Neurospora crassa OR74A: one gene and its partners. The protein of the gene in region 2 interacts with the protein of the main gene of each other region in a pairwise test. Links are inferred from orthologs where the notes say so. Each region holds a gene or a part of one and is shown on either strand. Other genes may lie near its edges. The genes, in order: NCU09721, NCU04121 and NCU10618.

What was found.
Region 1: the proteins of NCU04121 (region 2) and NCU09721 interact in binary tests that used the Saccharomyces cerevisiae proteins (3 or more experiments, as listed by UniProt). The link is inferred for Neurospora crassa OR74A from reciprocal best matches to the Saccharomyces cerevisiae genes APL4 and APL2.
Region 3: the proteins of NCU04121 (region 2) and NCU10618 interact in binary tests that used the Saccharomyces cerevisiae proteins (3 or more experiments, as listed by UniProt). The link is inferred for Neurospora crassa OR74A from reciprocal best matches to the Saccharomyces cerevisiae genes APL4 and APS1.

The regions. Positions count from the first base shown.
Region 1 is NC_026507.1:1,356,528-1,367,150, forward strand, and holds NCU09721 (AP-1 complex subunit beta-1), read left to right. Parts: upstream 1-5,742; 5' UTR 5,743-6,110; coding exon 6,111-6,343; intron 6,344-6,405; coding exon 6,406-7,789; intron 7,790-7,846; coding exon 7,847-8,479; 3' UTR 8,480-8,728; downstream 8,729-10,623. Other genes in the region: NCU09723 (hypothetical protein), read left to right, coding at 602-756, 865-1,123; NCU09722 (hypothetical protein), read left to right, coding at 3,152-3,352, 3,436-4,851; NCU09720 (hypothetical protein), read left to right, coding at 9,442-9,561, 9,627-10,019. UniProt on the Saccharomyces cerevisiae protein: Adaptins are components of the adaptor complexes which link clathrin to receptors in coated vesicles. Clathrin-associated protein complexes are believed to interact with the cytoplasmic tails of membrane proteins, leading to their selection and concentration.
Region 2 is NC_026505.1:4,910,437-4,920,979, forward strand, and holds NCU04121 (AP-1 complex subunit gamma-1), read left to right. Parts: upstream 1-3,634; 5' UTR 3,635-3,936; coding exon 3,937-3,946; intron 3,947-4,031; coding exon 4,032-4,155; intron 4,156-4,224; coding exon 4,225-4,413; intron 4,414-4,474; coding exon 4,475-6,593; intron 6,594-6,661; coding exon 6,662-6,748; 3' UTR 6,749-7,137; downstream 7,138-10,543. Other genes in the region: NCU04119 (SNARE complex subunit), read right to left, coding at 46-68; cmd (calmodulin A), read left to right, coding at 1,005-1,007, 1,160-1,216, 1,330-1,345, 1,527-1,652, 1,713-1,925, 1,989-2,023; NCU04122 (malate dehydrogenase), read right to left, coding at 7,529-7,550, 7,650-8,250, 8,325-8,532; NCU04123 (hypothetical protein), read right to left, coding at 9,823-10,053, 10,179-10,316. UniProt on the Saccharomyces cerevisiae protein: Adaptins are components of the adapter complexes which link clathrin to receptors in coated vesicles. Clathrin-associated protein complexes are believed to interact with the cytoplasmic tails of membrane proteins, leading to their selection and concentration.
Region 3 is NC_026505.1:1,561,053-1,571,747, reverse strand, and holds NCU10618 (AP-1 complex subunit theta-1), read left to right. Parts: upstream 1-4,720; 5' UTR 4,721-5,161; coding exon 5,162-5,172; intron 5,173-5,237; coding exon 5,238-5,271; intron 5,272-5,353; coding exon 5,354-5,471; intron 5,472-5,538; coding exon 5,539-5,813; intron 5,814-5,985; coding exon 5,986-6,015; 3' UTR 6,016-7,117; downstream 7,118-10,695. Other genes in the region: NCU04594 (4-carboxymuconolactone decarboxylase), read right to left, coding at 1-308; prk-11 (serine/threonine-protein kinase BUD32), read left to right, coding at 1,378-2,277; NCU04596 (gamma-cysteine synthetase regulatory subunit), read right to left, coding at 2,630-3,605, 3,786-3,811; NCU04597 (mitogen-activated protein kinase MAF1), read left to right, coding at 8,170-8,175, 8,269-9,438. UniProt on the Saccharomyces cerevisiae protein: Component of the adapter complexes which link clathrin to receptors in coated vesicles. Clathrin-associated protein complexes are believed to interact with the cytoplasmic tails of membrane proteins, leading to their selection and concentration.

The DNA of each region.
Region 1 (10,623 bases), on a different chromosome or scaffold from region 2:
CCACAACCTTGAGATTAAGAGTCTCACGCTCTACCGATTGAGCTAGCCGGGCGAGTACGATTTTGTTAATGCTACATTGACCAGGGTGCACTACCTATTAGCCACCAGTTGGCAACAGTCATAGTCCTTCAAGGAGATGAAGGAATGTCAATAAAAGTTGGCATGTGCACATCCGGATGTGGAAGGATAGCTCGAATTCGTCTATGACTTCCTTGCAGTGATGCTCGTTACTACGAGCAGTGTAGTGTACGAACGAGGGGATGCGACAAGCCAATTCCAAGCCCTGGAAGGCGCCGTCGCCGTAGATGTGGCGTGCGGGGAAATGCCCCTGGTGCCGTCCACGAATAAGCGACCGCCGATGATGTTCAAGGTGCACCTCGGCTTGGCTCGAGGAACGCCAGCGAACCATCATCGGTAGACTTACTGTACAAGGTGGCTCAGATGATGACGGCGATATCGCTGTACCGCTGCCCCGGTCGTCGGATGTGTCAAGCTCACATGGCACTACAAAACCGGACCCGAGAAACCAAATCGCGCCAAGGACTCTGATCAGTCCTTCACAACACTGCACTACGCCAGTAGCAGCAAGGAAACAGAAGACATGTCGAACATGGATACAACACAGCATGAACGAGAGCCAGCGCCGTCTTATCGCCAATCATTCGACACTCTGGCGCACATCCCCGCAGACCCAAACTCGTCGGAATTTAGGGCCAGCCGGATTGACAATTTCTGGATCAAGGTCTTCCCACCCACGTAAGGTTTCACTGCATCCAAATCCGCATGCCATCCATCACGGAGGATTGTGCGGGATTCAGACATCCTCCGAGTTCTACTGACTCCTCATATCTCGCCCTCACACAGGCCAAAATGCTACATTTGTCAAGACAAACCAGAAGCCGCGAATCTACTGTCGAGGCCGGGATGCGATCACAAGATTTGTGGTAAATGCCTGATCAAGATATTTGAGCGAGCCGTCAACGACAAGAAATGCATGCCGCCGAGCTTCTGCTCTCATGGTGAGGTGTCGCCCGACATGGCGCCGGGCTTGTTCGACGACGTGTTCTTGGCGCAATGGAACGAGAAGTACTTTGAGTATTTGGAACAGACTGTGTCGACATGACAGCCCATTTGGCGCTTCCACGATGGACAATCTGGACAGACCGAAAAGATGAAGATTTTCGAAAACTAGCAGGGTGGGCGACCCGATCGGGATTCTTGAAGGGATCAGCACGTTGGCTATAAATCAGCGAATAAACAGATGTGTCCGACACCGGCGAAATTACCGTCCTTGACCGAGCTATGGTCGGTAAATCACTCCATCCTTGGCAATACCTTCCAGAATAAAGCGCGGGATACACTGAAACATGGACACAGATGTTAACAGCATCTAACTCTAAGGACCCCTGGTTCAGGACCTCCGAATAGAGCGTCAGCCTCCAAGCACCAACGATTACCTCCAACGTGGATACAATGTCAACGCCATCACCGACAAAATGTACGCAGTAATAGAAACATATGGCTCAGGTCGTTCCGTTGCTTTTAGGGATACAAGCCTCAAGCTCCAACTGTCCCTCTTTGTTTCTTCACAACCCAAGTTCGTTATTATAATTTCCCGTCCAAGCTCTTCCTCGTTCTATGCAGGGCCAAGTTTTGACGTCTATCACCTCCCCCCCTTGTTCCATCAATAGTTCCTGTCTGGTCGGAGGCCGGGTCATCGCTAGGCCCTTTCAGCGCAGTGCATCTAGTTGTGCAATGCTCCGCGCACGTGTCCCTCGCAAACATCGATCGAGTCTTCCAAGAGCTAGTGTTTGAGCGGTTCTGTAGCGAAAACACGTTCATCTTTCACCTACCACATTGCCAATCCTGTTCAATTGAACCAATTTGGAGGACTTCAGTCGCTAACAATCTCAGTTACTCATCCTGTGAAGGAAACGCCGTGGAAGATGAGGATTTGGGCAATCTGGGAGAGGTAGGGATTGTGGATGGCGACGGAACTGTTTCAGAGGAATCTGGAAGGCATGGGAAGTATGGGAGTATGGCACCTGGGCAGGGGCTTGGGGTGGTCATGGGACTGGGAGATACTGACCCGAAGACGACTTGGCAGGAATGGGCATCCCAGTCGTCATCTGCGGGATAGAGCAGGAAGTAGTCAATGGCAGAGGTACCCTTGTTGAAGGGAGGGCATTCTTTGGGTGTGCCGATTCCAAACTTACTGTTGTTTCTTGAGAAATGACGAGATTGTCATGCATTCTGCAATGGACGGTGACACTCTGTGGTGGTGTGTTTTCGCTCAGCCATCCTCAACCATCTTTCAAGGCGGCGGTACCCTCATGGGGCTTCAGCTATCGATGTATGTATATGTAGCTCACTCAGCTCTGGGGAGCCTTCCACAGTCCTCCAAAACCGCTCGTCGGAACGATCCTCTGATCCCAAATACCTCGGTGGCTGCGTTCGACGCCGCTACCCTCGATGGTAACCCCAAAGGTGGAAGATTAAGAGAGACCTGGACAATTTGAACGAGCATAAGAACGTAGGAGCGCAATAAGCTGCAGCCAGCAAATACCAAGAGGTCCATACTAGAGACACGCTAGCATGCATATGGATCATCGACAAAGTTCGATTCGTGAGTGGGACAAAGGCGGCATAATAGAAGTAAGTAAATACAGGAAATGGAAGGACTAATCAAGTGTAAGGTTCAATAGTATCCAACGGGTAGCGTAACTGGGGCATGCTTCAGCCCAAAAAGGGGAACGGTGATGACTTCAACTTCCGAGTTGCAGTGCATGTCGCCGAGCACAGTATAGCAGCACTTACACACGGACCTTAGGCCTACCGGTTTAGGAGACCTCTCTCAAAACGCTTGGGCCAACCGCTTTTATCCAACATCAAAGACCCTTGTCTGATGCCATTGTCTGGGTCCACATCTAACCCACCGGCCCCATCTGTTCGCGTCTGTTCGATCGCAGACACGTTCACCAGGACGCGATTACCAACGTCATTCATCGCATTCTACCTGTCAAACTACTGAAGAGCTTTCCGAATCTCTGTATTCCGTCTTAAAGTATCCTCAACACCGAAATCCGAAATTCATTCTGATTGCGGCACCGAAAATACAACCTGAACTTGACCTGCATCTTGTCACATCACCATGCCTCCCCGCAAAATGGTCGCCGATGCGACAATCAAGACCGAGATCGCAGATGCCGTGCGCCGCATCTACCACGGTCCGCAAGAGCTAACCGTCAACGCTGTGCGCGAAGCTGTCGAAAAGAAGCTCAAACTTGGCGAAGGGTTTCTCAAAGATGGCGACTGGAAAGCAAAGAGCAAGCAGCTTGTCATGGACACTCTCGTAAGTAGTCATCTTGATGGCTCAATTGAACAGCACCGAGGAGAGACCATAATCAATTACTGACAGACGTGTACCTATCGTAGGCCAAGATAGAATCCAACGGGGCAGAACCAGACCAGGCTGCTCCAGCGAAACCAAACGCCAAGAAGCCGAAAAACAACGCCAAAGCCAAGGCACCTGCGAAGAAGCGCGCAAAGAAGGAGGCGACACCTTCCGAAGAGTCCGAGTCCGAGTTGAGCGATCCCGAGGATAGCGAAGAGGAGGAATTTGACGACGACGACGAATCCGAAGGGGAGCCGGCCAAGAAGCGCAAAGCCACAAAGGCAACGGGCAAGAAGAGGAAGGGGTCATCAGATGACAATGATGACGAAGAGGAAGCCGAGGAGAGCGAGTCCGAAAGACCTAAGAAGAGAGCGAAACCCGCCGCCAAGGCTACCAAGGACAAACCAACCAAGAAGACTGCCGCTGCGAAGAACAAGGTCGAAGCATCCGACGCAGAGTCCCTGCTTAGCGAAATCGACGAGGCTGGACTGGAGGATAAGGACGAGTCAAGTGAGCTATCGGATGCCATGGATGTCGAAACCCCCAAGGAGAAGGACACAAAAGACGAGGTGACAAAGGCAGAGAAGGAGACGAAACCGGCCTCAGACGACGAGAGCGAGCTTTCTGAAGTCATCGACGAACCTCCCAAACGGAAAGCTAAACCCAAAAAGGGCGCCGCTAAAGACTCTTCCGAAACCAAGCCCACCAACGCCCCGCCCGCGGACAAGGACGATGGCGAAAGTTCCATGTCTGAAGTCTTTGACGAGCCCCCGAAGCGTGGCGGCAAGGGGCGCGGAAAATCCAAGGAGGCCGCCAGCAGCAGCACCAGCAAAGGCCGCAAAGCCAAGTCCGTATCCGCCGACCTCTCTCCTGACGAAGCCCTGATCAAGCAGCTCCAGAGCCAATTACTCAAGTGCGGCATTCGCAAGATCTGGCCAATCGAGCTCAAGAAGTACGGTGATGACACCAAGGCGAAGATCAGGCATCTCAAGAACATGCTCACCGACATAGGCATGACCGGGCGGTTCTCCGAGTCCAAGGCCAAGGAAATCAAGATGCGCAGGGAACTGGAGGCGGAGCTAGATGCCGTGAAGGACGGAGAGAAGAGCTGGGGACTGGGTGATGGCGGGAGGCCCAGGAGGAGGGCGGCGGCTAAGGTGAAGAGTCTGAAGCTTGAAAGTGACTCTGAAGATCAAGAGGAAGAGGACGAAAGTGGGGATGGAGCGGACAAGAAGGAAAAGAAGGAAAAGAAGAAGAAGAAGAAGAAGGCCGAAAAGGAGGGTAGCGGTGATGAAGATGGAGACGATGATGATGATGAAGTTGAAGAGGACGACGAAGATGACGATGACGAGGACGAGGACGACTCAGAAGATGCGGAGCCAAAGGCAAGGGTGAGAGGCCCAGCCAAGCACAGGGCGGATTTCGCTTTCTTGGGCTCTGAGAGCGAGTCTGATTAAGTCACGGTGATTGATATGGAGCAAGCAAGACCCAGTGTCTTGGATCACCACTACTTCTTCATGGTTATGTTATGGGCGTGTACGATTCAACGAGATGTTTTATACCCTTTTGGTTTTGTATGACTATTTATCAAGGTACGCAATGGGCGGAGAATATGGCACATTGGAGGCAGGTTCTCAGTTTCGGAATTACTTTGTGGCGTTCATTCTTTGAGCTATCAAGCTGAAGACTGCGACGGAGCTTAGGAACAGGACGGCGTTGTAGAACTAGTAGTATCATGTTAGGTGGTCTTGGGGTTAAACAGCAGCACCGGAATATGACGTACTGCTTTTCTGGACACGTCTCTTTCTTCACTGTCCGTCCTGGCCTCGATGAAGAGGCGACGCAAGTTGGGAAAGTTGGCCTGTTGTGATTCAAGGTTCTCAGTCTTAGCAACATGTTTAGGGGATCTCAACAATGAGGGTTAGTCTTGTGGACAATTACCATTGTTTCGCCTCTGCCAGTTGACACTTGAGACGTTGATGCTGGTGATAGGTCGTACTTTTGAAGATATGGGAAGGTGATTTAAGTCCTAGTAAAAAAGGGAGGATGTGTCTAAGCTGCAATATCGCCGAATAATCAGTCGCTTCTCCAGTGTACTGGGAGTGGATGGTCCTCCGTCGTCACGGCCAAGCACAACCATCATCATCGTCCTCGTCGCCAAGTGCCAAGCCACAGCTGCCAGATGGGATCGAATGCCCCAAAGACGGCACTGTGGCTGAAGCTCTCCTTTACGGCGGGGCACCTCGCTAGCAATGAAGGACCCTGTGAGTGGGGCAACTCACAACAAGGTTCACGCCAAGACGCTCTGGCCTGTCGCTGCAGTGACTTGGAGGACACCACAGTTGAACCACAGCTGAACCACAGTGGCCGCTATTCAGCGCGTACCTATCACTGGACATCTGCCCGTCCACATCATCGTCGTGATCCATCCCGTCCTGACACCAGCGACGACGCGGCGACCTGATCCAAAGCTGGAGCACGCCCTCGACAACAGCACGCTGCCTCACAGCCGGCCAGGTTGCACTTTTGTTTCACGACTACCGGTACCTACGCGATCAACATACCAAAGCATCCGTGTATGCGCCATTCCACGACCACCCGTTGAGGCGCCATCTCCTTTGTCAAAGCTCGAGGTTTCACCGCCCGATCTCGACCTTGTCAGCACCTCCACCACTGCTTGTCCTCCCTGAGCGCGCAGAACAGCAACGCCTTCGCAATGTCAGCTATCAACCGCATTAGGGGTGCGTTTGCGCCGCCGCGCAAGGGCGAAACCTTCGAGCTGCGAGCCGGCCTTGTGTCCCAATATGCCTACGAGCGGAAGGAAGCCATCCAGAAGACCATCATGGCCATGACCCTGGGCAAGGATGTTTCGGCGCTCTTCCCGGACGTCCTCAAAAACATTGCGACCTCCGACCTTGACCAGAAGAAGCTGGTGTATCTCTACTTGATGTGAGCATCAGCTGCCCTCGTCTCTGGCCCCTTCATGAACGAACGCTAACCCCTGAGTCCAGGAACTACGCCAAATCACATCCCGATCTCTGCATTCTAGCCGTCAACACATTCGTACAAGACTCGGAAGACCCGAACCCCCTCATTCGAGCGCTGGCGATTCGAACAATGGGCTGCATCCGTGTCGACAAAATGATCGATTACATGGAGGAGCCGCTACGAAAGACGCTACGAGACGAGTCCCCCTACGTACGCAAGACCGCCGCCATCTGTGTCGCCAAACTGTTCGATCTCAACCCCACAATGTGCATCGAGAACGGCTTCCTGGAGACACTGCAAGAGATGATTGGTGATCCCAATCCCATGGTTGTGGCCAACTCCGTCCAGGCCCTGTCCGAAATCCACGAAACTGCCCCCGAGACCAGGGCGCTTGTCCTCACACCCGCGACCCTAAAGAAGCTGCTTATGGCGTTGAACGAGTGCACGGAATGGGGGAGGGTCACCATTTTGACAACACTAGCCGAGTACACTGCCCATGACGTCAAGGAATCGGAACACATTTGCGAAAGAGTAGCGCCCCAGTTCCAACACGTCAACCCCAGCGTGGTTTTGGCTGCCGTCAAGGTCGTCTTTACCCACATGAAGGCTCTCAACCCCAAGACAGTGAGCGCTTACCTGAAGAAGATGGCTCCTCCTCTGGTAACGCTCATCGCTTCTGCTCCTGAGGTTCAGTATGTCGCGCTGCGCAACATTGACCTTCTGCTGCAAGCCAATCCCGATATTCTTAGCAAGGAGCTGAGGGTATTCTTCTGCAAATACAACGACCCCCCGTACGTCAAGCTCCAGAAGCTTGAAATCATGGTCAGGATAGCAAACGACAAGAACTTTGATCAACTACTTTCCGAGCTCAAGGAGTATGCCCTTGAAGTCGACATGGATTTCGTCCGGAGAGCTGTCAAGGCCATCGGTCAGGTCGCCATCAAGATTGAGGCCGCTAGCGAAAAGTGCGTCAACGCGTTGCTTGATCTAATCTCCACCAAGGTCAACTATGTTGTGCAAGAGGTTATTGTCGTCATCAAGGACATCCTCCGCAAGTATCCCGGATATGAAGGTGTCATTCCGACTCTCTGCAAGTACATCGACGAGTTAGATGAGCCCAACGCCAGGGGTGCCTTGATCTGGATTGTTGGAGAGTATGCTGAGAAAATCAACAACGCCGATGAAATTCTGGAAGGGTTCGTCGAGGGTTTCTTGGAAGAGTTCACGCAGACCCAATTGCAGATTCTTACCGCTGTGGTCAAGCTGTTCCTGAAGAAACCCAGCAACACCCAAGGCCTAGTACAGAAGGTCCTCCAGCAAGCCACGGCAGACAACGACAACCCCGATATCAGAGACCGTGCTTATATCTACTGGCGTCTCCTCTCTGGCGATCTCGATGTTGCCAAGGTTTGTCACAATTCCTACCCCCTGAATATGTAAACATTGACTAACTTGCGTTCATAGAGCATTATTCTCTCTCAAAAGCCCGCCATCACGACAACAGTAACATCCCTCCCTCCCGTCCTCCTCGAGCAACTTCTTTCCGAGCTTTCCACTCTCGCCTCCGTCTACCACAAGCCTCCCGAGTCGTTCGTCGGCAAGGGCCGTTTCGGCGCCGACGAGATCCAGCGCGCCGCCATCCAAGAACAGCGCCAAAACGCCGCCGAGAACCCCATTGCCGCGTCAGTCGCTGCTGCTGCCAAAGGTGGCCAGCAGAACAACGTTGAGAATCTTCTCGACATCGATTTTGACGGCGGCGCTCCTGCCAGCGCAGAGCACGGTGGCGGTGTCGGCACACCAGATCGGTTTGGCAGCCCGGCCAACGTCGGTGGTCTTCCCGGTGCGCCACCGCAACCCAGTGGCGGCATGGCGGATATCATGGGGCTTTTCGATGCACCACCGCCCATGCCGTCGGCGTCTGCTGCAACTTCGCCGGCTGCTGCAGGCGGGATGGGTGACATGATGAGCTCGTTTGCAGGCATGGATCTTAGCGGGACGAGTGCGCCGCCGCCGCCTGGTCAGCAGCTGGGGCATCCGGCTAGTCAGACTCCTCCCAAGAGTGGTGGAGGTAGCGAGGATCTGCTTGGGTTGTTCTGATGGAAGAAGTCATGATTGGATGAGTATGGTGTCACTATAATAGCATGGTAGTTGGGGTTGGTGATGAGGGAACTGGGCTAAAAGCGATGGGACATGCTAGCGCCTTGTTTAAGCAGTTTTTGTTGTCCTTGTCTTGTGCAATGAGCTGCTAAATTAATAGATACGATACACTAGGCTCTTCGTCGTCTCGTGAATTTGGGGCCTGTCCCCCGTGTTTCGGTTTCTCTCTCGTGCAACATTCGTGTCATGACCTCGATTACCTATGGCTTTGCTCTCTATTCATCGTCGTCAGATCCCTTTAGTGGTGGATTACAATTGTCATTTCAACAGGACTAAAAGCTACAATAATCACCAAAAGCTTGACCGTCCCAAAGCCGATCGTTTACTATTAGGACCTATCTAGTCACCCATAGTGACCAGTGTCTCTATCGAACTTTGCTGACAACAAAGTGTGTTTGAGTTTTTCGGATCTCACATAATCGACGACAACAGAGCGAGGGACATGCTCCCATTTAGCCCTTTATATATTTGGGTTGTGGTTGCGACCGAGTTCTTCGAGGTCAACTGTAACACACTGCACAAAGTCAACATCGAGTGTCCGAAATGCTTCTATGTCTAACTACTGCTACATCTCCGTGCCTGTTCGGAGACAAGAAATGACACAATTGTTTGTCCTGCGCCGGACTAATTCCGCATCGAAGTTGCTTTCGCTGAGCTTTTGGCTTATCGCCTTGGGTGTATACCTTAGAGGTGGCCTTCGGAGTCTCTTGGCATTATCGCCGTCAATTCACTCATCCTAGCCCACCCTCTCGCTTTCGCTCATCGGGGCTTCCCTATCACTTCGGCGGTATTTCGCCAGCACTCTCGAGTCTCTGAGGAGTACATGGGATTTGGGGCTCAGGTAGACGGCCGTCCCAATCTCCGAAACTCAACAGGCCTCTTGCGTTTTCACCGCTAGCAGAATGACTACATGCCGCTATCCTCAACCGGCAAAGTTCATTGTCCTAGCCGAAGGCGGCGCCGATGGAGTTATTCATGACTCTTACGAACGAGACCTTTTGACGTCTGGACGATCCCGTCCGGTAATGCCGTTTCCAGCAGCCCGATCAGACTTACCAGGACCAACAAACCTAGATATTCGCAAAAGACAGAGACACGAATGCGCAGCGAACTCAAGTTACTCTGGGAAGAGCAGGACCCCGTCGCGGAAACGGGAGTGTCAGATAGCAAAGCGATGCGGGACGGCATCAGGGCGCAGGTTAAGCCAATTCGCGCCGGGCTTGAGACTACGGGAAGATTGGGCGTTACCCTTAGCAATAAGTCTCGCGGCAAGGAGGTTACCTCTATCCAAGCCGGTGCGAAAGCCGGCGAGGCTTTACAAGGTCCGAGTCTCCGCTTTCTAGCCCGTGCCCACGAAATCCACGCCAGTTCCCGACCCCGATCCGTAGGGGGTGTCAAGGTAAGGGAGACCAAATGTATATATGGGAGGACCAGGCGAGTGCAGCCTTTGCGAACGATGGAGAGTGTCAAGAAAGTCTAGGTGATAACGCACGTGGAGACGACGGACCCTTCTGTCGCGGAGGAGAAGGACACTTGTGTTAAAGGTTGTCACAGAGGAAAGATGCATGAGGGACTGTCACTGAGAATTGCCGCCTTGCTGGTGATGATTTAGGAACTTCTTCGCCAGTTGCATCATTGTAACGGCCGCCAAAGTATTTAACATTCACGCAGAGATCGGTGTTTTTGATTCAACCCCAGCAAACCGTAAAGCAGAGAAACTAGGATATGTTAGTATTCAGAAAAGGACTTAACAAGCGTCCAGAAGCTAGTAACATACGACTACGACGAAGTGTCTTATCGTATGATCATGTACAAAGAGAGAGAATGTATAGCGACGAGGGGCGACAGACAAAGCCTTTCTTATGGACATGATTCAGACCGTCTTATCATCAATAAGGTCCGCTGGCTCAATGGCAGAGCGTCTGACTACGAATCAGGAGGTTCCAGGTTCGACCCCTGGGTGGATCGAATTTTTTGAGTGCTTCTTATATTTTGCACCTCCTATTGTAATAGATGTGCAGTTCCAATTCCGAGCAGCAGGATTTGCTCCATCTGTTTTTTTTCCACGATTGGTGGGATTCTCG
Region 2 (10,543 bases):
ACGAACGACTCTCATCTCCGGGGGGTTCAAGAGAGTTCCCCGTACAGATTAGTGCGGTCGCGCCACATGGCGGACGCCGGAAGGGCGAAAGGCTCCCTTCACCTCGGTTGCACGCCGAAGGCTAGTCGTCGTCTCGGTCAGAGGTGAGAGTCAATTGATGGTAGTTAGTGGTAATGGCGGTCCAGAGGCGGATTGGAATGGGTATGGCATCACATCGCATCGCATGGACACGGCTGTGTATGTGGTCGAGGTTGAGTTGCCAATGTCTCCGTCCCTGGTCGATCTTCCCGGGGGGAAATGTTTCTAGGCCTCTCTCTTTCACTACCTACCTACCTATGTAATAACAGCAACAGGGCCAGTAGCACTGGGCAGCTGCTACCACTGACAATGACGCTGACGCGGCGGTTCAGAAACACAATGCTGGCCAGTTCCAGGGATGGGGGGCATGAATAACATGGGATGCATGTCACCTGTCAGGCACTTGGGGCCCGCCAATAAGGGGTAGCCTTTGTCAGTGTCTCAAAGAGTCGGTCAGCTGGCAGCCTGGGGGACGGGAGCTTTCAGCCTGTTAACAGTCTGGCCCGTCTGTCCTGGGCTGGGGCTGACGACCTACACCTCCAGTGGTGATGTATCCCATGCAGAGGTTCCAGGTAGGTTGCAGCACCTGCGAGACGCCGGGATGGGCTCCAGGGCATCTTTAGTTTTAGTCTCATTTTAGCGAGTGTGTTACAGTTAGGTAGGGAGGGACCCCGCCCCGCCTCCCTCCACTCCATGCTTCGCAATCGGCGGCCCAGCTGCTCATTTAAGGAACGTCGAACTAGGAGAACGGGGACTTGGACCTACCTGGTAGGTAGCCAACGGGTCTCGTTCGTTTCTACTGGGGGACCTCCATATCTACCACTTCCAAACCAGAACACCTTCGAAATCCTCCTTCGAACACATCCAACTATCTCACACGCTCGCTCTCCCCAGACCCTCTATCCACCCCTTAATACTATATCAAGATGGTATGCTCATTCCTTATCTCGGTGCCTCCCGGTCGAATCTGTTTGAGCGCAACAAGAACCCCGCGGGTTAGCTCGAGGGGCTGCGGCCGGGCTGCGAACATACGATGATGGCTGGAAAGGAGACGGGTGACTGACAAGGCTATCAACAACAGGCGGACTCCCTTACTGAAGAGCAGGTCTCTGAGTTCAAGGAGGCCTTCTCCCTTTTTGTAAGTTGTTTTTCTTGCGCCGAGCTTCCTTGTCGCCTATGCTCAATCCCCTGTGTCGCCGTTTGGCGCAAATCGTGCGAGCCTGATGACTGACCCGACACAACGTGACACAGGACAAGGACGGTGATGGTTAGTCTTCCGAAACCCTACCCCCCCAGATATCCGAATTCATCCACCACCAAGTTAGCGGCAAGCGCCTTGGATCATAGTAGTTGCGACGCACCCAACGCTTCTCACCGCCCGCCCCTGAACCGAGTTGCGATGTGAATACGAGCCCTACCGTAATGCACGCATACTGAACAGCAGCTAGGCCAAATCACCACCAAGGAGCTCGGTACCGTCATGCGCTCGTTGGGCCAGAACCCCTCCGAGTCTGAGCTTCAGGACATGATCAACGAGGTCGATGCCGACAACAACGGCACCATTGACTTCCCTGGTATGATATAAACATTTCGGACTATGGACCTGCCAGCTCGCCGCTGACAATAGCCTATAGAGTTCCTTACCATGATGGCCAGAAAGATGAAGGATACCGACTCCGAGGAGGAGATCCGTGAGGCCTTCAAGGTGTTCGATCGCGACAACAACGGCTTCATCTCCGCTGCCGAGCTCCGTCACGTCATGACCTCCATCGGCGAGAAGCTCACTGATGACGAGGTTGATGAGATGATCCGTGAGGCCGACCAGGACGGCGATGGGCGTATCGACTGTACGTCTTCAATTCATGCGACTCAGCCTGGGTATAGCTTACTAACACCTTGTTTCCAAACAGACAACGAGTTCGTCCAGCTCATGATGCAGAAGTAAACGGCTTTCTCCTATATTCCAACTCTACACGAAGACAGGTTTTAGCGTTCTCTTTGAATACCACTATTAGTTGATATGCCTCCATTCGGATGTGAAGGGATCGCTTTGTTTCCCACGCTTGGTATGTTATGCAAGGATCACCTGTGTTCTCGTGGTTGCGCGTTATGCTGGACTGTTACCTCTCCTCCTGCCTCAAACCACCGAGTTCGGGAAGCAATGGGGTGAAGTTGACATGGATTGACGCTAGCACCTCAAGTTTCTCTCCGTTTGACTTTGTGTCCGTGGCGGTTCGTCTCCAAAGCAGTTATCAATCAAATCTTACTCCGCCTTTGCTAGTGAGGAGCCATTACCCACGGTGTTGTCTCCCAAGTGGAAGCTGTACCACATGAGCAAAGGAGCACTTCCGTCCGGAGGTTCAGATGAAACCCTACTGTTTGCTACATAAACTTTTCAAATGCACAGCTGCTGAGTTCACGTCATCAGGGACCACCAGCAAGACCGGAGACCTGTCAACGAGTGGGGATGACCTGCAGGATGATTGTGGCAGTGTTGCCTAGCGACATCAACCATCAAGCCCAGGCCGAATATGTGGATATCATCAGCCCTATAGGGATTTCCATATCGTACACATCCGTACGGCACAGCATCTAGAAAATCAACTCATCTCCCGATCACCGTTGATGTATGGAGGATCAGGTCATTGTCGGTCAGTGATGGCTGTAGGTTGCGCTGAGGCTGTTTGCTGCTTGTGATGCCCTCGTCAATTTCATCAGTATTGTGACCATAGATGAACCGCATGTTCCCCAAAACTGAAGCTCGATGATACAGTATTCGCACAGTCAATTGTCATATGGCCGAGCTTGTCAGTTGACAAACGCTCATTGCTGTCTTGTTGAAAAGCAAATAGTTAAGCATTGCTGTCGCCCTCATGCTCGATGTGTTCAGGACTGGTCCAGTACAGAATCAGCACTGACGGTGATGATGAGTAGCCTATTAACTTTTCTTCAGGACTTGAACAAGCTTTACATGTGTTTAGCCTTCCTTCTTCAACAAATCGCCGGCGTCTCATGCAAATCTTGACGGAACTCATGCTCTTATTCATCTTTCATCCTCACAGATCTAAGCGGTGACAAGATAAGGCCGCCCTACGTAGGTATCAAGAAGAGCAATGTCTGATGCTGTGGCTGGTCTCGGACAGGACATTCATCATTTTGACCCTAACCCTGATTACCCCTTTTCCGGCGAGGCCGTCAGGGTGCCTGACAAGACGGTCTAGGCCCCACCTTCCCGCCGTACCGAGTCGTTGCATCGCAGCTGAGGAACAGCACCGTGACCTGTCCAGGGTCCCTGAGGTCCATGCTTTTCAGAGAGTTTGGCGCCTGCCGTCGCGTCGTTGCCGGGAAGCTTTGCAGCAGAGAGGTGCCTGCCTGAGGCCACGAGTCCCAGTACTGTAGTACCTACCTCTAGTGTACCTACCTAGGTATCTACTGCTGCCGTGGTGCTGACCGTCACCGTCTGCCTGGGGCTGGGAGCGGGCTGGGAGAGGTCAAGTCAAGGTGGGGGGTGGACACACACGGTCAAGAGGAGCTCCAATAAGCGCATTCCATGGCCACATCGCACGCCCGCCCATTGTGTGCTGGGCTTCCACTTGTCGTGTTTCGGCCGGGTTCCCAAAAAGATGATCCTCTCTCATGAATGTCTACGTACCGCTGCTTTACCGTATCGTAACTTTGTCCATTGCGTGCCTCTACTTTCTTCGGATACCCCTTGCTTGAAATTCCAAAGAACCGCCATCCGCTCTCCGTTCCGCAGCTCCCCCGCCATCTCGAGAGCTCAAGCATCCGCTACCACTTCCTCTCTGGTCCAGATCCCCTAGACAGGCCCCCTTGCGGGCCCCTAATGATTGCATCGCCATGAGTTCCCGTAAGTGAGCCACCGGCATCGCCATGGTCCCAAGCCTCGAGCGACCAGGACGAGGCCAAAACTGACGCTTGTAATCGGCAAACAGTCAAGCAGTTTATTCGCAATGTCCGAGCCGCAAAGACCATCGCCGACGAGAGAGCCGTAATCCAGAAAGAGAGCGCCGCCATAAGGGCCAGCTTCAGGGAGGAGAGCCACGATCACAGCGTCAGGTGCATCTGAGCTGCCAATACCCAAGCTTCCCCGGGATCTCGGTTTGCTGATCAACTGTGTCATTGCAGGCGCAACAATGTGGCCAAGCTATTATACCTCTTCACCCTCGGTGAGCGCACTCACTTCGGTCAGATCGAGTGTTTGAAGCTCCTGGCCTCTCCGCGCTTCGCCGACAAGCGTCTGGGCCATCTCGCGACAAGTTTGCTGCTCGACGAAAACCAGGAAGTGCTTACTCTGGTTACCAACTCATTGCAAAAGTATGGTGCCCAGGAAGACGATTATGGGTGCGCAACGTGATGCTGACGCTCGGCTCGACAGTGATCTTAACCATTCGAATCAGTATGTGGTGGGCCTCGCCCTCTGCACCCTCGGAAACATCGCATCGGTCGAGATGTCTAGAGACCTGTTTCCCCAAATCGAAACACTTATATCGACGACAAACCCATACATCCGGCGCAAGGCAGCTCTGTGTGCGATGCGCATATGCAAAAAGGTCCCGGATCTCCAAGAACACTTTGTCGAGAAGGCGGCGCAATTACTATCGGATCGCAACCATGGCGTGTTGCTTTGCGGCTTGACATTGGTGACCAGCCTTTGTGAAGCTGACGAGGCCGAGGGTGGGGAAGAGGGCATCATTGAGAAGTTCAGGCAGTTCGTGCCGGTACTCGTGAGGACTCTCAAAGGACTGGCTTCTTCCGGTTATGCGCCGGAGCACGACGTTACGGGCATCACCGACCCGTTCTTGCAGGTCAAGATTTTGCGCCTTCTCCGAGTCCTGGCCCGCGGCGATGCTCAGACTACGGAGCAGATCAACGATATCCTCGCTCAGGTTGCGACCAACACCGACGCTACTAAGAACGTTGGCAACTCGATCCTTTACGAGGCCGTACTGACGATTCTCGATATCGAGGCCGATGCCGGCTTGCGCGTGCTGGGAGTCAACATCCTCGGCAAGTTCTTGGCTAACAAGGACAACAATATCCGTTATGTTGCGCTAAACACGCTGGTCAAGGTGGTGGCCATCGACACCAACGCTGTACAAAGACACCGGAACACCATTTTGGAGTGCCTTAGGGACCCCGACATCAGTATCAGGAGGAGAGCTCTTGATCTGAGTTTCACCCTAATCAACGAGAGCAACGTCCGCGTCCTTATCCGAGAATTGTTGGCTTTCCTGGAAGTGGCGGATAATGAGTTTAAGCCTAATATGACTAGCCAGATCGGTATCGCCGCTGATAGGTACGCCCCGAACAAGAGGTGGCATGTCGATACGATGCTCCGTGTCTTGACGTTGGCCGGTAACTACGTCAAGGAGCCCATCCTGTCCTCGTTCATTCGCCTTATCGCTACGACTCCCGAGCTACAAACGTACGCCGTGCAAAAGCTTTACACCAACTTGAAGAAGGATATCACCCAAGAAAGTCTGACGCAGGCCGGCGCGTGGTGCATCGGTGAATATGGCGACGCTCTTCTCAGGGGTGGTCAGTATGAGGAGGAGGAGCTCGTACAGGAGGTCAAGGAGCATGAACTTATCGACTTGTTCACAACCATCTTGAACAGCAACTACGCTACCCAAGTCACCACCGAGTACATCATCACGGCACTCATCAAGCTCACCACTAGGCTGCAAGACGCAACCCAAATCGAGAGAGTTCGCCGTCTGCTTCAGTACCACCAGACAAGTCTGGATGTCGAAGTTCAACAGCGTGCGGTGGAATACGGCAACCTGTTTTCTTTTGATCAGATCCGTCGTGGTGTGCTTGAGAAGATGCCTCCTCCTCAAATCAAGGAGTCCTCCCGAGTACTTGGTGAAGCTGCCAAGAAGACCACCAAGGCGGCGGGCAAGAAGACTAACAAGGCTGCCAAGCCCAAGGAAGAGGATCTCTTATTCGACCTCATGGGAGACACCAATCTCCCGTCTCCTTCTGTTCCCAACGGCGGGACGAACAATGCCGACCTCCTTGCCGATATTCTCGGCGGCACCACTTCGCCTCCGACCTCGGCCTCGCCGGCTCCCGCACAGTCAAACGTTGCCTCGATCATGGATCTCTTTTCGCAGGGACCTACCTCCACTCCGTCTCCCGCACCTGCACCAGCGGCTGCTCCATCAGCAGTCCTTGATCTCTTCAACACCACTCCGGCCGCCGCTTCGGCTCCGGCTCCTCAAGCGGCGCCCAAGCCCGCTGCTGCGGCCGGCCATGCTTGCTACGACAACAACGGACTGAACGTCACCATCCAAATACAGCGAAATGCCGAAGGCATGATCCAGGCTACGGCTCGCTTCCGCAACTCGTTCCCTGGCGGTCCGCTTTCGGCTGTCGGGTTGCAGGCGGCGGTGCCCAAATCTCAGAAGCTACAGCTGCTCAATATTTCGTCGACGGATATTGCGCCGGGGGCGGAGGCGACGCAAATGATGAGAGTCGCGGGTTGCACTGGGGTAGGTTCAATTCAGTTTATGTCCTTTTTCCATATTTAGATAAAGTTGCTAACAAGTTTTGTGCACAGGCTTTGCGTCTACGTCTCAAGATAGGATATACACACCCTACGGCGGGACAGGTATTGGATCTGGTCAACTGGACGGAGCCCTCTTGAATGGACGATGGGGAAGGATGAGTTATGGAGGGGGCAGCAAGGGTGAGAGGGGAGAGAGAAGAAAGAGTGATCGTAATGTTAACGTATTAGCTATTGAATGGTCAAGTCACATACCCTTTGATTACAGGGTAGACCACAGAGTACCGACAAGAAACAGGACAAGGTATAGAGAGGAAACCAAAACGAAGCAGCCGATTTATTGCCAAGGCGTACATCGTTACTAAGTCTACTATTCTTTTGCAGACTGTTTGCCGAGGGCTCAAGCATGCGTATTTCAAGTTACTATCTATCCCCTTCTCTTCACCCAAAAGGCTGTGAATCTCCATAGTAAGCACTCGGTCATTGCGCTTATCACTTTAGCACCAACCCTCTGTTGACATTTGGTTTTATTTGTTCATCTCCCACTACTCAAGTCCAGCAATCTCTCACCCTTTCCTCTTCCGACCATGGTTGATGATCAGGCAGTCAGCCCGGTATTACTAACAAGAGTTTTATATCCATAGCTCGTGCTATCCATCTGTCATTTATCCAACACAATGTGCCTGTTTGGCGCCGCCATTAACGCCCTCTTTGTGGTGTAGGTAGGTATAAATATGCAAGTGATTGCACATGAAAAATTGTTGAGAAACAAAGACAAAGGAGAGAAAAGAAACAAAAAGAAGAAGAAGAAGAAGATGCCTCCTCCATAAAATACATGGTATCTTTTTTTTTGGTGCTTGTTTTTGGTTTGATTTTCCACATCCGATATTCAGTCACTGAGTGACATCCCAGAAGAGTTTTTTAGTTGCCATAAAACCAGTACCTATTTTTCCAACAATGTTAGCCACCATCCCGTCCCGTCTTTGTTTACAAAGTTTTCATGAGGTAGTTTTGAAGGGATAGATAAAAAAAAAAGACTTACTGAGCAGCATACTGCACCTCGAAATGCTCCGGCATCCCCTGACACGTCTCGGGCGCGCTTCCTCCCGCCGTCTCTACCCTATACACCTCCTGCAGTCCGCCCGTCGCTCCCGGGCGTGTAACCAACTTCAACCAAGCAACCGCCTTTTCCCCTTGCTGGCCCCTCGGCGCCGCTTCTGGGGCAGGCGTACTGCTGTTCTTGGCACACGGCGCCTCACCAATCTTCCACTGCGAGGCATCCATGTTGAAAAAGGGCGTGGATGCGTTGGTGAAGTAGTGAGCGCCTGAGACGGCCATGCCGGAGGTGGGCGCGAGGGTCTGTTTGAGAAAAGAAGGAGGGAAAGGGAGGGCGGAAGCGACGGAGGAAGCGATGGAGGCGAGGTCGGAGAGGTTGAAGTTCAGGGAGACAGTGGACAACATGGCGCCGATGTCGGGGTAGGCGGAGACGATGCAGGAGGCGTTGAAAAGAGAGGCGACGGCGCCATTGGCGACGGGAGCCGCGGTGGGGGTGGAAGGGTCGCAGGTGTAGTTTTGGGTGCCACGGCCGAGGGCGACGTGGCGGAGGGTTAGGCCGAAGGAAGGAGGTGGAAGGGGAGAGGGAGCTGGAGAGAGGGTGAGATTTTTGTTAGTATGAGCTCAGGTAGGTGAATGAGAGGGGATGGGCTGAGAGGCTTACCTTGGGGCATGACCACCTTGGAGAGATCACATGTTGGTACGGCGCTCTCGAACTTGCTTTGTTGGATCTTGACCGCGAGGAGGTTGAAGTACTCTGATATTTTCTTGAGGGAGTCGGCGGGAGCTGAGTGGGCGTTGATCTCAGGGAGTAGTGGGGCGGCCATAATGGAGGAGACGCTGAGCGCCGAGAGGAATAGTGAGGCACGCATTGTGATGTTGTGTTTGTTGTTGTGTAGTGTGATTGAGAAAGATGATCAAGTAAGTTGTTGCTTTTTGTCGTTGTCCAATAATGAAAGCCGCCTTCCTAAAGAAAACTAATAACCACCAGTGGTTCTTTTTGTTGCCGAGACTGGGTATCGTGATGATGATGATGATGATGAATAGGAAATCGTCGAAACCCGTTAAGAGACGAACAGAACCCAGGAAACCCGTGATATAAGAAAACCCAAAAAGAAAACAACTGAAAGACGACCCTCAAAGAAATAATCCAACCAGTGAATATGCTAGTGAGATCAAATAGGAGGTCGGTAGAAGAAGGAGGAGGACGAGGAGGAGGCTCCAGATGGCAGATATATGAGAATCGGTCTGGAAGAAGAGTATGTCGATCTTGACCCTCCATCATCTGCCCAGGAGCGGCGGCTTTGGAGGGCTAAATAGATTAAGCAGTCCCATTCACACGTTTGACTGGACCAGAGAGACGCAACGCTCTTACGGGACGGCGGCACAGGGACACACGCTCACCCATGTTTACACGCACTCACTCACACACTTCGCTTGGGGAGTACGTACTCAAAAAGTATGGTAGAGACCATGGAGGGTATGGTAGCGCTACGCGGTACTACACTAGGTACTATCCCTGACGTTCAAGACATCCTGGATGACCGTGGATGCCCCTGGTGAGGACACTTGAGAGGGAACACTGCATGTTTAGTGGTTCGGTGGGCAGCCGCCGGTGCTCCCGTCGAAAAAGAAGAGCGTGGGTGGTGGTCTGGAGGACGAAAGACAAGAGACCGACCGTCAAGAGAAGACCGCAAGGCCCAAGTCCGTCCCCTGTCCCCGTGTCCCCCAGAATTGGAAGGTTAGAGGTTGATTGGATGAACCCACACGAGTCCCTGGCTGTCAGATCCCCGTCTGATCCACTGCAAGCGCCGGAACCGTGCGCTAGTAGGGGCTCGCTGTGTTAGCGTACCACTTTATTTTGTGGTCCCTTGTCTGTCCTCCCGTCGTCATCATCCATCCTCTCCTCACAAGTTCCATGCGCACCAGGTACACTAGGAGTCGGGTTGACAGTTGGACAGTCAAGATCCCCAGCCTTTCACAGTTGTTGTTATGTAGTGTAGTGTATTGTAATGTCTTTGCTTGGCAGGACGTCCGAAAAGATGTCGAATGGAACCGTCATCGATAGTTGATACTGAAGATATTTGGATCAAGAATCGCGCGACAGACGGAAAGATGGGAAAACAGCATGTGAACGAACTGTCGAGTTGGGCAAGCACATCTCATCCACCATCACCACCATCCACCACGTCTACCATCGTTTCGACCGCGCAGAATCTGGAACGTCTGAGCGCTGAAGATCTTTCTCTGTTTATCGTTAGCACAGCATCCAGTGTTCCAACCATCGTATCCCGTCCACGGGCGTCATGGCATCGACGGGTCCGGGGATCGGCATTGTGGCAGCATGGCAGCATGGCCGTCCGGTGATTGATCGGCCGATAAGTGCCGGTTGCCTTTTTAGCAATGAACAGTAGGTGGTGTATTCTGTCCGTGTCAGTTTCGTTAAGCTCGCTAAGACAGAGAAAAAACATCCAAGACGATACACCCATGAAGGGTTTTGAAGTGTGAGAGGATTTACCACCAGCTTTATCTGATTCATATCATGTCGGATGCGGGCAAAGGAGTCGGGGCCGTACCGATGGTCAGTAATATACTTGATTCGACGAGTGTTTCTCTTGATCCTTACTGTTCCTTCCTTCCTCTCAGCCAACTTCATTCCTCTACCACACAAAACATGTTGCTACTATTCATCCGCAACAGTACACGGTCTATCAGCCTTCCTTCACCTCCGCTGCCCCCCCTCCCACGAAAAAGAAAAGGAAAAAGAAAAATCAGGATCAAGAAACATGGAATGTCTCAAAGCCGATCTCCCGTCTGCAGGTCTTCCCCCTCGTCAGTCCTCCCACAGTAGTGTACACTAGACATGCCGGGTATTCGAGGACC
Region 3 (10,695 bases), about 3.3 Mb from region 2:
ATGGCGCCCAGGAAGGAGTTCCAGCCGTCGGCGACGGGCGGGGAGTGGAGCAGGGTCAGGTCCAAGGGTTGGAGGGGACGGGGGGCGCGGCGGGCGGTGATGCGGTCGACGATGGCTTGTTCGGCGTCCGAAGAGGTGGGTGGGGGGTTGGGGATGTAGGGGAGACGCATTTTGGTGGGTGGGGTGGTGGTGAGTGATCTGGTGGTGTTGGTGAGTGGTGACGACGGAAGTCGTGTAAGTCGTGTGTAAGAGGATGATAGCCGGTGTGGTAGTGAACTACGGAAGAGATGTTTGAGGGAGATGGACATTGAGTGTAAGATGCAGAAGGGAAGAATAGAAAGAAGAATACGGATAGAATGAAATACAAGCTTGATGACTTGACAGCTGCAATGCACGAGTACTGTGGTAGTATCATCGGCTTGTTGAAGCCGGTGACGCAGGTCCGTACCTGGGGGCCGGCGGTCGGCAGCGGGGGTTGCGGGGAATCTCTTGCCCGCCTGTCTGCCGCTCGGAAGGAGGGGTCGGCAAGTGGACGTGGGCCCGGAGCATCAACGTCAACAACTAAGCCAGCTGATGCGAGGTACCGGCCTGAATATCACAACCTGATCGTCAAAAATATGCGGTTGGATGTTCGAACACCGAGGTATATGTCTTTGACTTCAAATCTCATCATTCGGACTGGCCGTGAACGCTATGATTGTCTAGCCGCTTGGCCGTTGAGGAACATTTGGTCTCATTTGATGCTCTGAAACAGATTCGGCAAATACAATGGGAGATAATATCGCAGTCCGAAGCCGCAGATCCTCCAGATAGTGGACAGGTGAAGACAACCTCACAGATGGACAAAGACTTGGATCGGTTTGTCCTTGCGCAGAAAATCTGGCGCCTGTTTCGGAGTGAGTATCTCCCCTAAGTGACTTTTTGTTGTTGTCAACATATGAAGAACAGTGAAGTTTCAGGAGACGGTAACGATGTGACATTTGTGCAAGTCGAGTAGTTGATCAACGTTGATCTCGAAATATTGGTCAGAGTCGAGATCACTCACCAATCGGCCGCTCATGTGTTGTTGATTCAGCGGCACAGTGTTAACAATATTGCCCTGTGCTTACCTACCCTGTGTGGAGCTCTTAAGTTGTGAAAGCTTGGCACTTTTCCTTTCCCAGCAACAATGTCCGGTGCCCCTCTGCCCCTCCAGCGCAATGTTTGGCAGACAAGGAAGCCCACTGCCGCCAAAACAAAAGTTCGCGATAATCAAACACAGCCCAGGGCACAACGACACAACCTAACCGAAGCGCAACAAACCTCACCAGATACTACCACTCAATCGCACACCCAGCCCTTTACGACGTTGTCAACAACAACAAGTCTGCCAGATTGATGGACCCCTCTCCTCAATCACCCCCCACCAAAAAGCGCAAAATGGCGACCTCAACCTCAACTTCTACCGCCGCCCCCGCGGTTGTCGAAGAACACCAATTCCCCCTCCCGCCGATCCTCACCCACCCCTCCGCCGCCCCTCCCACCCTCATCACACAAGGCGCCGAAGGCCGTCTCTACAAAACAACCTTCTTCTCTCCCGACATCCCCTGCGCACTCAAGTACCGACCCCCCAAGCCCTACCGGCACCCGGTTCTCGACGCCCGCCTGACCAAAGCCCGCCTCGCCTTCGAGGCCAAAGTCCTCGAGCGGTGCCGGCGCGAGGGCGTTCCCGTGCCTGCCGTGTACGCCCAGAACGCGGCGGCGGGCTGGATCGCGGTGGAATGGATTGAGGGTGCGCCGGTGCGAGTGAAGATCAACGAGTGGTTGGGGCAGAGGCCGAAGAATGAGGAGGAGGAAAGGTCAGCCGCGGAGCAAGATCAAGGACCGTTGATCGAGTTGATGAAGAGGATCGGGGCCGCGATAGCGGGGCTGCATAGGACGGGTGTGGTGCATGGAGATTTGACGACTAGTAATATGATGTTGAGGCCACACACGAACAAGACGACGAGTAGCGAGCAGACGAATGGAGTGAGCAAAGAAGAGGAAAAGGCCAAGTTGCTGGAGGGAGACGTGGTGATCATTGACTTTGGCTTGGCGAACCAGAGCCAGTCGGACGAAGACCGGGCGACGGATTTGTATGTCCTCGAGAGGGCGTTCGCGAGCACACACCCCCGGGCGGAGAACCTGTTTGAGCACTTGCTGGAGTCATACAAGCAGAGCTTCAAGAAGGGAGCGTCTGTGTTACATAAGTTGGAGGATGTGAGGATGCGTGGGAGGAAGAGGAGCATGATTGGGTAATGGTCAACACCTTTTTTTGGCGACAACAAGGCGAGAAAAGATACCCATGGATTTATACACATACAAGAACAGTTTTGCTATAATGATGAGTTGGAACAGCGGAGCTCGCGCGCTGGAAAGGAAAGTGAAGTTGCAATACATTCATGCAAATCGAAACGCCATTTTCATAAGCAACGAAGACAACGAACGCAATTGGTATTAATATCAATAGAATCAGAATGCCTGCTTGCCTGCCTGGCCACCCGTCCCATCCAAAAACTCCCTTGGACCCAGCTACACAATATGCAGCAGCTATATAGGTCGGTTTTGTATGCGGTTCTATTACCCCCCCAAGTATTTTAGAGCGAGTGCCTCAGTTCAACTCGGCACCGGCAAAGTATCCCTTATTCTCAATCACGCCCCTATTCTTCACCACAGCCGTGTACTTAATCACCCATTGTGGCGTGAGGTTTCCCGTCAAGCCGCCGCTGCCCGTCGCTGGGTCAGCCAGAAGCCCAGCACCCTGCGGGCCCAGGAGTTCCCTCAGCGTTCCCTCGGGCAAGATGTCCGTGCAATCGCTATGCACCAACAACTCCACATTTTGTTCCTTAGCCAGCGTCGCCAGCGGCGGCGGCACGTTGCAGCAGTTCTTGAGGTTGATTTGGTCCACCGCCGGCGGGATTGCCACGCGCTTAATGAACCGCGCCAGCTTCTCGGTGCCAAACTCGGATATGCCTAGCCTTTTCACCAGTCCCTGGCGGTGCAGCTCCTCGACGGCCGCCTGCCAAGTCGCAATCTCGGACTCGTCGTCACCCTGCGAAGCGTTCAGCTTGTCGGCCTCCCACTCGCAGTCGCCGTCGAAGGACATGCCCGGGAAGGAAACGACGAGCAGGTCGACGTCTGGGATCCCTCCGAGCTCTTTGAGCACTAGCTCCATTGCTTCGGTTGTGTATTGCGCCCGCCTGGAAACGTCGGGCGTTGTAGTGGGCAGGAAGAAAATCTTGACGGTAATGTCGTACTGCGAACGCTCTTCAGAGAGTGCGGCGGTTTCCCAGTCGATGCGGGGCACGAAGATTGTATTGTTTTTCTGGTCTTGCGCCGTCCAGTAGAGCGGGCCTGCTACGGGGTCGGTAGTGTTGCTATCGCCATTTGTGGCTTCGTGGACGCCATTGCTGGTGCCATTGGTCGTAGTCGTCGTCGTCTTCGTCGTTCCATTCGCGTTCAGGTTCTCAATCTCGTCGGCGTAGTCTAGTTGCGCATCTTGGAAGCTGACTTTCAGAGAGTTTACGAGTTCGAGGTTGGATGCGCCGGGCTTGCGAACAATGGAGGGCCCGCCGGAAATGATGTTTCTGAAGGAGAAAAAAAAGTTCGAGCACGCAATTAGTGATTGGGTCTAAGAGATGGCTATCTTGCCTATTTTCGAGCGAGGTCGCACAGCTAGGGACAAGAGACAAACCATATGGCCTGCCCTGCCCTACACCATCATACTTGAGACCGGAGCCACACAATGAAGAGAAGGACGGACATACCCGGTAGAAAGTATTAACTTGGTCATGACTGCTAAGGATGTTGACGACCTTTTTTTTTCTTTTCTTTTGGAAATGGGTAGAAAAAAGTTAAAACGCTGGCCAGGCGCAAGACGAATCTCTCTACCTCTTGAACTTTGGACTAGATAGTGGGGTACGACTTATTTGGTTCAATGGAGCCTAGAACCGATTATTAATGATTTACTGGCATGGGTCCGGGGGTGGTTCGATTCGGGAGTATGAAGGTACCTTTTGTAAGCTTGTGATGATATGTATCACCACAAACGCCGATGGTAGGGTGGTGTTGCCAGAGATAGGCAGCTGTAACGACACAGGGGAACATCAGTTTGGAAAAGTATGAATATCCGTCGTCGACCAAGAACATAACCCAGGATAGAGGTTAGACGGAGTTTTCGCAATGTGGGATGTCCGCAGACCATAAATCGGAGAGGTCATCATCCGACTCTCGGATTTTGACCTTGCGCTAGGTGAAGCATGGCTCTACACGCAACTCCCAGGGAAGGCGCCATGAGCAAGAACAAGTGCGGACTCTCAAGCAAGTTTGTCAGAGTCGGAGATGCACGTCGCGGACATTGCCGAGAATGTCAACGGCAGCTATGCCAGCTTCGGCATCTGATGACTGTCGGTTGCGTTCTCAACCACACTTTGGTGTAGATATGCGCGGGATGCCGTAGAAGGAGAAGAAAGCAACAGCCAACCAGAAGGTCTGACAGGAACGGGATGTCTTGTTAGGTGAGGAACTGCCCGGTGAACGTGGGGAGCCTTGTACTTCTCCCACGATTAGTAGGTCATGTTCGCTTGTTGCAGCCACCAACACTGAGGAAGAGAACTAGTTGAGTCATGCCGGCAGAAGATGATAGAAAAATGAACCAGACGCCCGCTACGACTGAGGGGGTTTAATGAGAAAAGGGCTTCCCTTTTGATCCGTCCTTGAGATTTTGTGTGCGTTAAGTGGTTTGCCCAGCAACATGGGATCAGCAGAAGATAAAAAGTCAATCAACTCAATTGTCGTTAGGTACATAGACAGTTAGACGATCAACGAACTCCCATGTTAAGCCTCGATCAACTCAGGAGCACATCATCCACTATAAGACCACTAAAGAAGCCTCTGAAAACGAGAAGTGCCAGATGCACTAATAGTCTCTAGGATCGGGTAGAGCCCCACTTGCCTTGGGTCTGGTTCTTCAGGCACATTGGACGGCCGTCGTCCCGCCCCTTTGGACAGCTCCAGGCGGGAGGAGTCCAGGCTGTCGGCGTGGTGTCCTTGTCAAATTTCCCGCCCGTGACAACACCTCCATGATCACATTGTCGACTCCCGCTCAACGTGATCCCGGGTAGTTGATGGAATCATCGTCATCATGGCTATTCAGTATGCGCCCGACAGTCGCCATCTTGCTATTCACAATGAAGTCAAGCTGACCCGGAGCTCTGCAGCTATCTAATCCTCCTCTCGCGCCAGGGCAAAGTGGTGCGTCTTGCCCGCCGCGGGCGTTGCTCTCGTCCCCAACCACGCTGTCCTTCTCCCGACTAACCGCACGTCAAATATCCAGCGCCTGGCCAAATGGTTCACCACTCTGTCTCCCAAGGACAAGGCCAAGATCGTCAAGGACGTTTCCCAGCTTGTCCTGGCTAGGAGGACTCGCATGTGCAACTTTCTCGAATACAAAGGCAAGCTCCGCCAATTCTCCTGGATCGCAACATAGGGCTAACTAACTGTCTTTTTGCTCGTCTGCAGATACCAAGATTGTCTACCGCCGATATGCCTCGCTTTTCTTCATCGCCGGATGCTCCTCCGAGGACAACGAGCTGATCACCCTCGAGATCATCCATCGCTATGTCGAGCAGATGGACAAGTACTACGGCAACGTCTGCGAGCTCGACATCATTTTCTCCTTTACCAAAGCCTACTACATCCTCGACGAGCTCCTGCTGGCGGGAGAGTTGCAGGAAAGCAGCAAGAAGAATGTCCTACGATGCATATCGCAACAAGACGCCTTAGAGGACATGGAGGTGCGTACAAGCATTTGACTTGGAGCCGTGACCGCTTGCCCGGACAGAATTTGCCTTCTTCCCGCGTCGCTACGCCTACACGCTCCCCCCCCCCCCCCCCCCCCCCCCCCCTTGTTGCAATCCCTATCCGTAAACCACCGCGCTCACTGACACGTTTATTGCACTTCCTCAGGTCGAGGATGAAGTCACAAAGATCATGTAAAGGCTGATCAAGCTTTGTGGTGTCTTTTTCTCTCCATCATCACGACCGACCGAACCGGGTCCCCTCAAACACTTGCGATTGCCAATGGTCGACATTTATTTACCCCAACAGCATACGCTAATGCATACCTTTACCTCCTGATGCAGGATTTGGAAGAAATAAACAACGCACTCAAGCAGGCCGGGATTCTCTGAAGCTGTGGTAGCGACCACAGTCCCTCCGATAGGTGACGGCACCGGATGGACAGACGAGAGGGGCGACCCGAAGCACGAGAGTACAGCATATGCAACCAGGGAGGACAATAATAATCGCGCCGAGAGAAGGGGAAGCAGAGTGTGGTGTGGTGGCAGGAAGTCGGGGCTACAGTCACCCATTAGGAGGGAGCAAACTCCCTTTCCTTAATCATATAGATATGGGCATTGTAGATTAATGAGCTGCCAAAACTGAGCCACTCGGAGACCGGATACACCACTAGTGTCCTAATCATGGACGATGATGGGAGGAAACCAAGTGGAATGCGTATCCGGTACACTGGGCATGGCCTCGGCGATGTGCTTAATGATAACAACGATTCAACGACGCGTTGCCAACACCGATCCATCTGTTCATGACCTCACACATCGGGTGTATGCGCAGAAACAGATCGATTCGCTCGGGAGACGTTGGGGTGGCGTTACCTTGATGCCCACCAAGGAAAGGTTTGTCCACATCGACGTTGGAAGCAACGCTCGTGGAGGGTTGAGACGACTCTATTCGTCAGGTGGTTGTGGTTGACAATTAACATTGATGAGCAGCATTCAGGCCGGGACACACATTGACACACAGGAAGTGGAACGCACTGCGATTACTGACTGGAGGCTTCCAGGCGGAACGGCGGAGGGGAGTGAGTGGGAATGGAGACTTGGTGGTGACAAGGGAACGCCGATCACTTAGGGGGTGCGACTCCACCCGACTCGAGGAGCCAGCGGCGCATGACCGGGGTTTAGGCGGGTCGACCCCAGCAATCCCCAGCGAGCCAAGGCCAACGTGGGCTGGCGCAAGCAGGCCACTCACCCGAAAGGCCACCCACCTGTTACTGTCAGCGTCAGCGAACCGGCTCTGGCCCTGATGGCACGGCTTGGAAGGAACGTCAGATAGGTAACGAGCCATCGATGGAAAGCGAGACCGCAGCCGGGGCACCAAGGGAACATATCAATGACCAACAAGAGGACTGACTGGAGCCAAGCTGAACACAGAAGAAGCATGATGGCTGTACACTCACTATACCGACCCGATAACCGGCGGTCCCCTTGGATTCAATTCGGATGGATTGGAAAGAACATCATACACTACATGTATGGGATTTATCCAAGTTGTCCCTCCTCCCACTTTTCCCACTTTTTGTTTCCCAAACTGATCTGAACCTCACTTCAACTAAACAGCAGGACATCACTCGATATATGACGATATCGTCACCCCTATTTCTCCTCACGCTAAACTTACATCAACATCAACAACATCAAAAACCCCACTTCTAACTATCTACTGTGTACAACCACCTACACCTTTTCACTATCTGTACTCGACATCGCGCTAGACATTATAACATCCCGTGTCCCTGTCTTTGTTCATACCTAAGACTTGATCTGGGAGTTGATAGGCAGGATTTCCATAACCGCTTTCCCCCCGAACTCACGGACTCGTCGGAGGACCTAGATTGGTCACATCATCCCCCGTTTACCACACCCTGTTCCCACTTCCTCCGCACCGCCTTTTCCGACGAACAACAACAACAACACCCATAACATACAACGTTTCGCATCAATCTGTTGCGCCATCACGGATCGACCCGGGATCAAGAATTACTGGTTGACTCTCTACAAACACTAATAATATCCTTGCGGTAACTCACCTCACATTCAAACAAGTCCCATCTGGCGATCGCTCGACCCCTCCCGCTTCCAACCAACAACCACAACGTTTGCGGAGCTGGGCCTGCCACTTGTTCATCGCCTTTGTTGCAACTCTCACCGTCTCCGATTTATTCGTCGCACCACTTTGCGAATACCTATCATCTTTATCACTACCCCAACGGCCAAACGCCTCCCGGCTTTTACCACTGCCTAATTGTCACATCACCTTCACGAGTCGCATGCCATCGCAACCATCGGCAAAATGAAGGCAAGTATACGTCGCACCGGTCGAACCGGGCACCGCTACCCTCCAAATACCAGGAGTGGTTGATCGTCGAAAGCAATATTGACCCTTTCACAGTTTCTATCTCTTCCTGCGATAGATGTTGTGACGAGCGCCCTGAACTTCGACACACCAGACTGTCACATCACCGGCAGCTGCGATCTATACACCACCAAGGCTGCGGGTTCCGACAAGCGCCTCTACAAGAACATCCAACAGTCCCTCCAAACTCAGCATGACAACCTCATCAAGTTTGGCAAGTCCCTGTCACCACCACAGCGCGATTCAATCGCCGACACCGTCAACTTTGAGCGGTCTTCACCATTCGGCTCGCTCAACGAAAAGGCCAACCGAAACACATACGCATACCTAATAGCCACTCTTAATGCGTCGCATCCCGACTACGACTTCTCCAATGTCCTGCGACCCGACGACTTTAAGCGCGAGAAAGAGTTGCGCCGCGTCATGGCCCACATAGATAGCACTCTGCAAAGCGTGCGGCCCAATTCATCTTTCCTAGACGTCACAATCCCTGGCATGGGCACCTCGCCCGCCGCCGCCTCGAGTTTCGGCTCCTCAGGCCTCGCCATGTCACCCGTCTGGGGCCCTGGCATGTGGGCATCCATCGATAAAGAGATGGATCTCAAGGACTGCTCCATCTTCTCGTACCAACCGGCCGACGCCCCATTTGACGAGGAAGAAGGCGCCATTTGGGCCCTCCACTACTTCTTCTTCAACAAGACTCTCAAGCGCGTCTGCTACCTTTACGTGCGCGGGATGCCGGTCATGTCCCATAGTCCGAGAATACCGGGTCACCACGCCATCATCTCGGCCAAAGGCGGGCTTGTGCGGCCGCGCAGGGCCCTTTACGGGATCGACGAGGAGCTCGACGACGCCGGAGCCAACAAGCGCGCAAGGTACTGGCTCGGAGACCAGTTTGCCGAGCGCGTCATGGCGGATGACGACGACATGGAGGCCGATGATGGTCTAATATGGAATCGCGATGCTGACGGTGACGTCAACTGCAACTATCACGATGACGATTATGATGACTATGATATTGAGAGCCTGGGGGATTATGACGAGGACGAAGACCTCGAAGACGCGGAAGAAGATGACCATGACAACAAGAACACTAATGGTGGTCGGAGTCAAGCTTCGGCCGCCAAGGGTGGATGGCGCTCTGAGAATGTTCCGTACCGGGGAGTCAGTGAGGATATTGCGTCGAGGATGGAGATTGATGTTTAGACGATGTCAATCCCATTCCGCTAGTCCTTGAAGACCTAGGACGCTAATGACAGTCGTCGAGGTGGCCGTCATGTTATACACGCTAATCTGCTACGTTTTTGCTCTTTTTTGTTTTTGACGACAGCCTCATTGCGCGCGAGCCTACGGGAGCGTGAGAGGCTCCTGATTTTCGAGATACCATGGTGTTGGTTCGCGCTCGCATTTTCTTCTCTTGTTGGTGTCTTTTTCCCTTTTCTCTTTTCTTACCTTTGTTTTGCGTGTACATGGTTCGTTTTCTTCATTGATCTGCCTTTCGTTGATTTTCTTTCCTTCCACTTTTCTAGCAGCACCCGTGCTGTATCACTGCTTCCACGCACAACATCACATGACAATGGGTATAATCTGGCTGGCTAGCTTATACATCAACACGGGAAACGGTAGAATGTTTCTCCCTCAATGGGGTTTGGGTTAAGACATGGGTGGGAGGCATGGATTGACTCAAAACATCCGCCTATGAAAGTTGGCCAGCAATGCATTGGAGAGAGTTCACGACGGCGTATTCGTGTGCTCTTTGGGGATAACTGTGGGAATTTCGCAATAACACGTCTTTTGCTTTTTTGTGGGGTTTGTTTTCCTTGTTCGAGTATCTATGGCTCCAAGGAAATAGTCGTGGGGATTGGATCATTTGTCCTGGGTTTTCAGAAGGTCGGTGAGAGAGACTACAATTCTGGATAACGCTCCGGGTGGATAGCGGTATGGTTACGTTTACGGCTACGTTGCTCTTTTGCTGCTATACTTACTGACTTTGCGCGGAGTACTTTCCAACTACTCTATTCTACTCTTACTACTGAGAGTAATGCGGGTTTCCACGAACAATGTCTTTTGTGACGAACGGAAATGGTTCAACACAAACAATCAAACAGTCTGTGTAATGGCTACTGATATGGGGTTTTTGCGCCTTTCAGATTGCTACAGACGGGAAGCATCTACGAGAATAGATGAGGACAAGCCTGACAAAGGGCAACGATGATAACGACGCTTAGTGTGGCATGGCATGGCATGGCAGGGCAATACGACGGAATGACTACTCTACTGAATTACGTAGTTTTAATAGCTTTTGATTTGCAAATTGAGTTGCTGTAACAGAAAGTATTCTCAGCACCTCGCAACGGAAACACAAAGCATGAATAAGTAGCTCCTCGGGTAAACGTTTCGAACATGCTTGTGGTGAAACATTAAGACGGAGAACGAAAGGGGGCGTGAAGTACCCCATTGTAT